Macaca mulatta: one gene and its partners. The protein of the gene in region 2 interacts with the protein of the main gene of each other region in a biochemical or structural test. Links are inferred from orthologs where the notes say so. Each region holds a gene or a part of one and is shown on either strand. Other genes may lie near its edges. The genes, in order: TBC1D2B, GABARAPL1 and STK3.

What was found.
Region 1: the proteins of GABARAPL1 (region 2) and TBC1D2B form a complex in vitro, tested with the Homo sapiens proteins (2 studies listed by BioGRID and IntAct). The link is inferred for Macaca mulatta from reciprocal best matches to the Homo sapiens genes GABARAPL1 and TBC1D2B.
Region 3: the proteins of GABARAPL1 (region 2) and STK3 form a complex in vitro, tested with the Homo sapiens proteins (2 studies listed by BioGRID and IntAct). The link is inferred for Macaca mulatta from reciprocal best matches to the Homo sapiens genes GABARAPL1 and STK3.

The regions. Positions count from the first base shown.
Region 1 is NC_133412.1:56,157,077-56,160,729, forward strand, and holds part of TBC1D2B (TBC1 domain family member 2B), read right to left. Parts: intron 1,919-3,653; coding exon 1,424-1,918; intron 1-1,423. UniProt on the Homo sapiens protein: GTPase-activating protein that plays a role in the early steps of endocytosis.
Region 2 is NC_133416.1:10,339,668-10,344,057, forward strand, and holds the start of GABARAPL1 (gamma-aminobutyric acid receptor-associated protein-like 1), read right to left. Parts: upstream 2,881-4,390; 5' UTR 2,687-2,880; coding exon 2,597-2,686; intron 1-2,596. UniProt on the Homo sapiens protein: Ubiquitin-like modifier that increases cell-surface expression of kappa-type opioid receptor through facilitating anterograde intracellular trafficking of the receptor. Involved in formation of autophagosomal vacuoles.
Region 3 is NC_133413.1:108,839,490-108,842,159, forward strand, and holds the end of STK3 (serine/threonine-protein kinase 3), read right to left. Parts: intron 1,198-2,670; coding exon 1,039-1,197; 3' UTR 561-1,038; downstream 1-560. UniProt on the Homo sapiens protein: Stress-activated, pro-apoptotic kinase which, following caspase-cleavage, enters the nucleus and induces chromatin condensation followed by internucleosomal DNA fragmentation.

The DNA of each region.
Region 1 (3,653 bases), on a different chromosome or scaffold from region 2:
TACTCAGAACTCCAGCTCATGCACGGCTTACAGAATTCCTAAGGTACACAGGCAGAGCTTTTCCATTCTTACTTTATCCGTATCTTTTTTTTTTTTTGAGACAGGGTCTCACTCTGTTGCCCAGGCTGGAGTATAGTGGTATGATCACAGCTCACTACAGCCTCAACCTCCTGGGCTCAAGCGATCCTCCCACCTCAACCTTCCAAGTAGCTGGGATTAGAGGCGCATGCCACCATGCCCAGCTAATTTTTTTTTTTTTTTTTGACGGAGTCTCCCTCTGTTGTTCAGGCTAGAGTGCAGTGGCACGATCTTGGCTCACTGCAACATCTGCCTCCCAGGTTCAAGCAAATCTCCTACCTCAGGCTCCCAAGTAGGTGGGATTACAGGCATGTGCCATTGTCTGGCTAAGTTTTGTATTTTTAGTAGAGACAGGGTCTCACCATGTTGGCCAGGCTGGTCCTGAACTCCTGACGTCAGGTGATCTGCCTGCCTCGACCTCCCAAAGTGCCGGGATTACAGGTGTGACCCACCGCACCCAGCTAATTTTTTTTGTATTTTTTGTAGGGATGGGGTTTCGCCATGTTGCCCAGGCTGGTTTCAAACTCCTGGACTCAAGCAATCCTTCCACCTTGGCCTCCCAAAGTGTTGGGATTACAGGTGTGAGCCACTGCACTGGACCTTTATCCTTTTTTTTTTACAAACTTGATTACCTACTTTCATAACACAGAAATATAAATGGACAACTGCCAGGACAGCAGTAAGCAGAAAGTGCACAAGCCATTAAGAAGCAGTCAGTGCAAAGTCCAGTGACAGGAAGAGCTTCGTGGGGAGCAAACCTCAGTCCTCCTGAGGTCTTGTCCCATCCCTACACAGCTCAGGAGGATGAGCCTGGATCACCAAGAAAATGTGAGAGGCTTTTCAGCGTCCTCTGCCTATGGAAGTAGGGAAGTATGCAAGACCTGTTAAAGGTTCTAGTTTAAAAGGAAACAAGTTTAAGTCCATGAAGGGCTAAGTTTCAATCAGCTGAATAATTGTCTGGGGCGACTTCTTGATTCACAAAAAGATCCTGTATACTGCATAAACAAGGGGTGGCCATCAATTTCCACTCCATGCATTACAAACTAATAAAATCAAACTTCTGATCAAAACCCAAGTGTGATGAGACTAGGAAAAAATGAGACTCCAGTAGTTTCAAATGAATTAAACTCTTGTGTTCTTAATACTTTCTGAAAGCATGTTTGTTTCTCTCAGTTCTTCTAGAACTGGGGACACTGTGTCATGATAACTGGCTTGCTGCAACTACTTTTTTCTTCTAAAATATTGACTTTTCTTGGCCAACCAGGAAGGGAGGGAGCTGCCAGGCAGTACCGGTGCCTACAAGTTGCCTAATGGCAAATGGGAACATTTTGTGCTGTGCCCCCACCTGTTTAGGCCTTGGCAGTAGCCGATGTCTGGATTCCGCCAGGAGAAGGCGAGGAGGACGTTGCGTAGCTTCTGTATGCCTTCTGAGGTGGGGCAGGAGTAATGTTTGTTGTTGGGCAGAGTTCGCAGCAAGTCCAGCTCAATCTGCTTGGAGGCCGGGTTCTGTTTCTCCAGCGCCTTCTGCAGCAATGTCTGGAAGTGGCCAGGCTCTGTGCTGTCCTTGAACTTCCTGGTGTGACGGTCCACACACCACTTCCATACCTTGGAACGGTGCTCATGGGGAATGCCCGCACGGATAAGGTTTTTTAATTCTGGAGAGCACATCATCTCCCTGTTGACTGTACTGGCAAAATAGTTTTCCCACTTGACCCCAGTGGAGACTTCCTGGTTTTCTGTGAGGTAGAGAGTCTTCAGATCCAACGCGCGGACCTTGGCGACCAACTTCTCTTCCTCGTCATCCTCAGGTACAGTCCTGAACCCATAAATATCATATTCACTGTTGATAAAAACAAAAGGAAAAGTTAAAATGACAAAGTTTTAGCAACAAAGACCAACGCAACAGAAAAAGAGAGTCTAGAAACCAAATTATGCACACGTGGTACTTTGAACTATGAGAAGCATTTCAGATCAGTGAGGATATAATCGACTTCTCAGTATATAAAGCTAGAATGACTATCTATATGGAAAAATTAAATTAGATCTCTACTTGATACTACATAGGGAAAAAACCAATTCCAAACAGTTTAACACTGAAAATATGAAAAGCATGGAAGAAAACGCAGGCAACAGCACAAAAACAAGACTGATAAATCTGGCTACATTAATGCGTGTGTATGTTTCTTTATCATATATGTACTACATATGTATAACTTTATGCTTAAAAATATCATTTTAAAAGATAAAAAAAAGAAGAATGTATTTATAAGCTATTAGGGATAAAGATGTTCACGTCCCAGTTCCTGGAACCTGTGGCTGTTTTACGTTACATGGCAATAGGAATGTTGTTAATGGAATGTTAATGCAGAATTTAAAACAAGGAGATTATCTGGGACATCTGGATGGGCCCAAATATCCTCATGAGCCCTTCAAAGTGGAAGAATCAGTCAGAGAAACGTCAGGCAGGAGAGATGGGAGGCGTGAGAGGCGCTGGACCTGCTGCTGTCGCCCCGAAGATGGGAAAAGGGGCCCCGGGCCAAAGAACGCAGGGGGCTCTAGAAGCCACCAACCACAGCTGACAACCAGCAAGAAAACAGCGACCTAGTCCTACAACTGACTGCAAGGAACTATATTCCACCAACAACTTAAATGAACAAGGAAATTAACTATCCCAGAACCTTCAGAAAAAATGCAGCCCTCAATTAAATCTGGATTTTAATCCAATGAGACCCATATTGGGCTACTGACCTTCAGAACTATTAAGTGACAAATTTGTGTTGTGTTGTTTTAAGCCACAATGTTTATAATTTGTTGTACCAGTAAAAGAAAACTACTACAAAGGCCTTTCACACACTGCTGCTGAGCGTAAACTTACTCAAGCACTTTGAAAATCAGATCTAGCAGAGTTAAAGGTATGTATTTTCTACACACCAGGAATTCCACTTCCAGTCTGCACCCTAGAGAAACTCTCTCACGTGGGCACATGGGAATATGGACCATGATGGTCCTTGCATCACTGTAACAAGGAAAAATGGAAAGATCTAAATGTCCTCCATGAGGGGAAGGAATAAAGACACCATGGTAGATTCATACAATGATGTTCTACAAAGAAGGTAAATATGCTCAGTCGTGTGCGTCTGTAGTCCCAGCTGTCTGGGAGGCTGATGTAGGAGAACTGCTTGAGCCCAGGAGGTCCAGGCCAGCCAGAGCAACAGAGTGAGACCCCATCTCTTAAAAAAAAAAAAAAAAAAAAGCTCAGGAGTTAACTTGTATCAACCTGGATAATTTCAGAAAATAATGTTGAAGGAAATAAGTTTCAAAATGATATGTATCTGGGATTAGTATGTATCCAGTCAGAAATACATACTGAAATGTTTACAGGTGGAATGACGTGATGTCCGGCATTTGCTTTAAAATATTCCAGAAAAAAAACTGGGGAGTCGGGAGGTAAAATGAAATAATATTGGCAAAACATTAACAAGTGCTCCAGTTAGTTGCACACAGGGGTATATGTTACATAATTCTGTCTACTTCTTTGTGTGTTTTAAATTTTCCATAAGAAAAAGTTGAAAATA
Region 2 (4,390 bases):
CACATTTTAAATTTAAAAATAAAAACTGAAATAGGGTAATGTAAGCCAGGAATTAAAAGGAAAAGGCAGAAAGAGGCTAGCACTGTGCCCCAAAGGAACTCTGAGACCTAGCAGTAAGAGAGAAAAACCACAAAGGAAGACAGAAAAAGAAAGTGATAAAGCAGACCGCAATACCTGGAGGGAAGGCAGGGGTTTGGAGAGGAAGAAAAGGGGGAGGGGTAATTATTAAAGGATTGGTTTCCCAGAACCAAGGTTAAATTTCCAGGAATCCCAACTCTACTCCTCACTATGGTAGACCCTGGGCTAGATGCTTTGCCTCTTTGGGTCTCAGTTTTCCTCATTTGTAAAATGTGACTAATACTCAATAGAGCTATGAATTTTTAAAATAGACAATCTGTTTCTAGCAGTCTTTTTGATATGTTGTGTCTTTGAAGATAATTTCAAGATCCCACCAACCCCTCCTCTCTGAAGGCACAAGCATACCTCTTCAACTGTTAGCTCTGAAGAAATATTGGTGGGACTAAACTCTGGTTATGCGAGCAGTCAGGATACACCACTGCTTGAATAACACCAATGGTCAAGCTGGAATGGGCTTTAGGAACCACTACTCTAACCCTCTTTTCTGTAAACAAGGCACTCTATCTAGCACAGCAAGATTAAAAGTTCTGCCCAAGGATGCAGTGAATTCCCAGAACTAGAACCAAATCAAGGAACCTGCGTCATAACTAGAAAGAAGGTCACAGACTGAGCACCTTGGGAGCAGCTCAGCGCTGGTTAAAACATAACCCTAGGGAAGCTGAAATCTGAGTGACAGTCTTAATGGCTTAAAAATTATCACAGGAGTAAAACATTTAACACCAAACTATGAGCATGAAAAGAACAGAATGCACTGAAATATTCAGAATACACATAAGTATTTATCTATTTCCAATACTTAACAGTGTGAAGTCCACAGCACGTCATTAATTCTGGTTAATAACAACTATATTAGAAACTGAGAAACAGTATGACACGGAGGTTAAGGTCTCCGAGAGCTCCACAGTCCGTCAGACAGGGTTAGAATTCCGGCTCAAACACAGATCAGCAATGTGAAACCTTTAGGAAGTTACCGCATTTCTTTGTGCTTTGAATACTCCGTCTGTAGAACGGGGATTATAATCGTGTAAAGATTAAGCGAATGATTACAGACTGAGTACTTATACTGCTACTGTAAACTATTAGTAAAATATGACTGTATTTTTTAAATATCATTGCTCTAAAGATTGGTATCACCAGAACTCGGCAAAATTTTCAGGTATCCAAGGTCCAGAAACCAGCAAAGTATTTTGTAAAGGATCCTTTACCGAGTAAGGGATTAGCTCACCCCTCTATAAACTGAAAACCCTTTGGTAATTCCTGAGGAATGGAAGAGCCCTAATGACTTTTTTTTTTTTTTTAAAGGAAAAGGGGTACAAGAGGTTTCTACTGCTGGGCTAAGGCCCTGCTGGCTTCTGGTAGCTATAAAACCACGAACGTTAGGTAAGGATTAGAGAAGAAACCCAGAGTGGCTGCGAATCAAGATAAGACATCAGATAACAGCAATTATTTTACCATGATGTGACATGTAATCCTGATGTTCCTACCTGAAGATAAAGAGCACAATTTTAAAAATCTCTGCTCCTCCATTTCCAAAATCCAACAGCTGCTGGTCCCTTTACCACTTAAAAGTCATACTCTGCCCTCCAATTCGGCTGCGCAGCCCACATTAGAGAAACACCAGGCAAGGGACGGGGGAGGGGGTAATGGGGAAAACGCCCGGATGCTGAAAGACACCTAATGTTTCTTCTCTGTTCCTACTCACTACCTGCGCTAGTTTTAACTACTTAAGCCGGTGTCCAAAACACAGAAAAAACGTCTCAGTCCTGCCTTATCGCGTGCAGGTGCCAGGTGATCAGAAATCAATACCGGGGGAGGCTGGCTGTCCCTACACATTTCCCGGAGCCTAGAACGATGAGGCAAGAGGGCTGTTGCGCAGAGAACGTGACCTTGTTTTTCAGGCCCGGACTGTCTTGTGCTCCCCTACCCCCCTGTCATGCAAGAAAAGAACCGAATAGCTTCTGAACCTTTTCCTCCCAAGCCCAATGATATGACAGCCAAAGTCAACTTCATTAAAGGAGAACCAGCCAAGGCAGAAATCGACCGGGTTTGCGCAAACCTCACCGCACAGCACAGTGTCCCCGCGTTCTTAAAGGGAGCCAATCCACGGCCCTGATCTAACCACTCTCGCACACAGGGGCGCTATTTTGCGCACCTCAACCCACACAGGGTCTCAGTATTGCTGAGACCGTGTGGGTTGCTGAGTCACTGAAGATGGCAGCTCGGCCCCAAAAACACCGTCAGCCCTGAAGTGGGGTTCAGGCCCCAGGCATATGTGGTTTTAAAAGCTCCGCAGTCTGGACGTCCATTGGCTCGGGCACTGAAGGGCGTTCAGGATTAACTAATTATCGGCACCTCCCTTCCCCAGAGTCGCCTGGGCGCCCCAGGGAAGCCATCTCGACTCCCAGCCCCCGCCCCCGCGGGCCCTTCCCCTCCCATCCCCCCGCTCCTCTACACTCACGGGGACCCTGTCCGGATATTTCTTCCGGATCTTTTCTCCTTCCTTTTTCCGATACTCAAAGGGATGGTCCTCCTTGTACTGGAACTTCATGATGCACCGCAGGGCTTCCGAGATTCCCCGCGCGGGGCCTGCCTCCTTCGCTGCTGGCCCTGTCCAGCTCCCTCCGCCGACGTCAAGGTGTGCTCAAATAGCTACAGAAACGTCCGCTCCCGGGGCAACAGCGCTGGGCCGAGCGTGCAGAGGGGGTTCGGTGTGGGGGGGATCTCGGGTGAGCCTGCCCGGAGATAGAGGAGAGCCAGGTGGAGAAACACCGGCGGCTTTTCGCTGGAGCTGGGAGCACAAAAACAGTTGGGTGGCGCGTCGGGCTGTGACGTCACCCTGCGCGCCCCGCCCCGCCCCCCAGGCGCCGAGGGCAGGGGGCGGCCGAGTGCTGTCTTAACTGCGTTTCCTTTCTGGCTAACGTTTTTCAAAATCGATGTCATTGCAAACATCAAAACATTCTAGTTGTGTTTTATTTTGTGACTGTGAAAGACGGTTTTAAGACAAAAACAATTTTAAACATGTTTTATTCCCCCTCCACTGTTTTTCTTGGTTTGGCCCCAAAACAAATACAAAAGGCGAAAATCCTTTTCCTGCTGGTTGGGATCCAGCCTCAGGGGAAAAGAGGCCCAGGCCTCCTGGGATCCCTTTGGCCAATGCAGAGCTGTCCCGTGCTTGCACCGTGCCCTCTGCGCTTTCCGCTGCCCCTCCCGCGGCCCTCCTCCCGCGCTGGCGTCACAGTGTTTGGGCCGCGCCGCAGTTCGCTCCTGAACAGCAACATAAACAGAGCGTGACTCAGGAATCTGAAGAGAGGAGTCAGATGAAGGACGCGGAGTGTAATCAAGGTCCAAAGGAGACGTGATGTCAGTCAGGACTACGGAGGGCTTCACGTACAATCAAATACAGAAATGATTCACTTTCTAGCCGGACGCGGTGGCTCATGCCTGTAATCCCAGCACTTTGGGAGGCCGAGGCAGGGGGATCACCTGAAGTTAGGAGTTCGAGACCAGCCTGACCAACATGGAGAAACCCCGTCTCTACTAAAAATACAAAATTAGCTGGGCGTGGTGGCCCATGCCTGTAATCCCAGCTACTCTGGAGGCTGAGGCAGGAGAATCGCTCTAACCCGGGAAGCGGAGGTTGCGGTGAGCCAAGATCGCGGCATCGCACTACAGCCTGGGCGACAAGAGCGAAACACCGTCTTAAAGAAAAAGAAAAGAAAGAAAGAAGTGATTCACTTTCTGCCATTAACTCAGAAAGGAGGCTTGTCTTCTGGAAAAGAGAGTATCAAGCAATTTAGGTGATGACCTCAATTCTTCCCCCACATCTTATTTAGTTCCAGTGGTTAGGTATCCCTCACGTGGCTGGAAAGCGCTGCCTGGAATGCCAGTGGAAGATTGGGCATTGCGGCAGGTGCGGCGAAGCCTCGTTCTCGCTTTCCCCACCTAGAGTCAAAGAATAAAGACCTTCCAACCAGTACGGTAGGCAGCGACACGGAGGACCGTGGAGATTGCAAAGAAAAAGAAGAGTGAAAACGGGCTGCGTTGCCCATACAAGCCGGGTGAGTTCTGAGAAATATTAGACAACAGCAGCCCCATGGCCTATCTTCTTCAGTCGGGGTCTCAGTGTCTCTAATTTTAAAAACACCCACAAGGGGACAGGCGCGGTGGCTCACGTCTGTTCTCCCAGCACCTTGGGAGGCCCCGGCCGAGGATCGCTTGAGTTAAGGAGTTCAAGACCAGCTTGGGTAACAGG
Region 3 (2,670 bases), on a different chromosome or scaffold from region 2:
TTTAATTTTTTTTCAGTCCCCAAGGCTTGTACCACTCAGTACAAATGTTTTTGCTACTGGGTTATCATCAGGCACATGATGTTTACCAATTCCCAGGAAATGAATAAAATCAACAGAAACATCCTGTGACAATAGAGCACATTTTCATAGAAATGAAATTGATGAGCTTATTACAGTTTGAATCAGTTCAGCTATTAGATCTACACATAAAACATAAAACAATATTAACAAGTTACATTTGTATTAAGTTTTTTTTAAAAAATATTTATCATACTTTTTTGTGCAAGGATTCCACTGATTTCTTTGGTTTTAAACACGATAGATCTATTTTACCTAAATATATATAGTTCTATTTGTACCAAACATCAAAAATCAAAAAATTAAACAAAATTTCAAAGGGTAAAAATGGAATTATTGCTTCGATATAAAAAAGGCCTAGCCCATTTGAGAACTATTGCCATTATTACTTTCCTACTGGAAAACTATCCTGGAAATCAAGGAATGTACCCCATAGCTCCCTGCAGAAAGTATAATTTGGTTGCACATTATCATCATATTAATATGACCCTATCTTCACCAAAGCTATCCTGATCTTGTCCTTAAAAAACAAAACAAAGCAAAATAGCATAAATAAATAAGTTTACCTAAGGGGATACAATAAATAGACTAGTATACTAGATAGGAATAAAGAATATTGTAACATAAAGCCCTTCAGTGCTGCACAATTAAACAATAGCTTTGGATTTTCAAGGTCTCTAAACGCAGCCTCCGTTTCAAAACACAGTTTTATTGCTGGTATGCAGCTGACAGAACAAGAGAATACACTTCTTTTGTTCTCCTCATCTGAAAGTGAATGCACAGCAGATACAACTGTCAATTCTGCCTTTTGGGAATTTACCTGGGCATGTACCATTGTCAGTTTTTGACCTCTGACTAATTGTAGGGCAAAATCTTAGGATTAAAAATATACAAATATTCCTTCAATTCCTAGTGGTTTCTTGGTCTCCAGAATAGTTAAAAACAGACAGGAAATTAGACTCAAAAGTTTTGCTGCCTTCTTTTTTTTGCATCCATCGCATCCAGAATGGGCTGTCTTTTCGCAGTGTATCTCTGACGAAGTTCTTCTATCTCCCGTTCCATCATAGGGTCCAGTGCTTTTAATCGCATCTGTAGTTCTTCTAAACTTAGATTTTTCAACTAGATATGGAAACAAACAAAGATATCAATATAGTGAAATTATCCACAACACATTAATGTCTAATGAGTTTTAACATAAATATTTCAGCAAATTCTTTACATCATCTTCGAAGTATGGTTCAACAATTAAAACAGGAATTTCTTCCTTGAAGAACCCAGAGGTCATATCTTGCAAGAACCTCAAGTAATCTGCAATGAAACAATCGGATCATCTGCCTTTAGTAAAGGGCAAATGAGAAAAATATGCTGATAGAATTTGTAAAAAGGTACAAAGACAAATCCACCCCCGCCAACAAACAGATTTTCAGAATACGTTCCAGGTATATTCACTCTAACTTCTTACATCTTTGCCAGCTACCGAGTGCTACAATAATAATGAACACTTGCAGAGATCACCCAAGAACATGACAAGACTGAATAAAGGTTAAATTAACCATTCTATCCTCCATTTTACCAAATGCTTAATAAAGAAGATGACTGTGGTAGGGGGTGGGAAGTAAGGCTGAATAGGCCTGGTGGGGCCCCAAAAGTAGGAAGCCATGATCAATTCTGGAGTAGGACAGTTATGTAAGAGTAATCCAGATTTTGTTTCTCCTTCTCCTTCTTCTTCTTTTTTATTTTTTTGAGACAAGATCCCACTATGTTGCCCAGGCTAGCCTCAAGCTTCTGGGCTCAAGAGATCCTCCTCCTTCGACCTCCTCAGTAGCTGGGATGTGCCACTGCACCCAGCTAAGGCTTGGTTTTAAAATGATAAAACTTGCAACTTACTTTTTGTTTTAAAAAGATAACTGTCTTTGGTTATTTTATGAGTCAAGGAAGAAAAATACTCATTACTTATAGTCATCCAAAGTAGCATGTCCCAGCAGATCCTTTTACTCGCCATCCCTGGCCCTATCGTGACTTCTGCTTCCAAAAACCAAATTCACTCTTAGCTGAAAAAGACTCTGAGGATACTGAAAAGAATGAGTCACAGACTCTTTGAAGGAAATTCAAAAAAGGAGTTCCAAAAATATTTTGAGAAATGACAGTATATGGAGAAGAGTATGCAGGCTTCCATGATGATGACTTTGAAGGTGAATGCCACTCACTTCAGTACATAAGAAGTTCTGGTATGTATATTAATAATCAGCCCTGTTACTTTGTAGTCATATGTCATGAAAGAACCTAGCTTTTAATATTATGCTATAAAAGATACATTTATATATAATATGTATTATTATACACTTTCTTCATTGACTTTTAATCCAAGTAGTGATCATGCATCTGTTACATGCTCAGTGCTGTTCAAATTGCTGCGGGGATACAGAATAAGACAAACAGGGAAACTCCAAACTTTGAACTGTACACATCAGTAATGGCCATACTGAAAGGCCAATGTATACCACACAACCACATTTCCCAAGAAAGACACACCCAACTATGTCTACGTAGGATCCAATTCCACTTGTGTGTTCTTCAACATCATCTCTATTT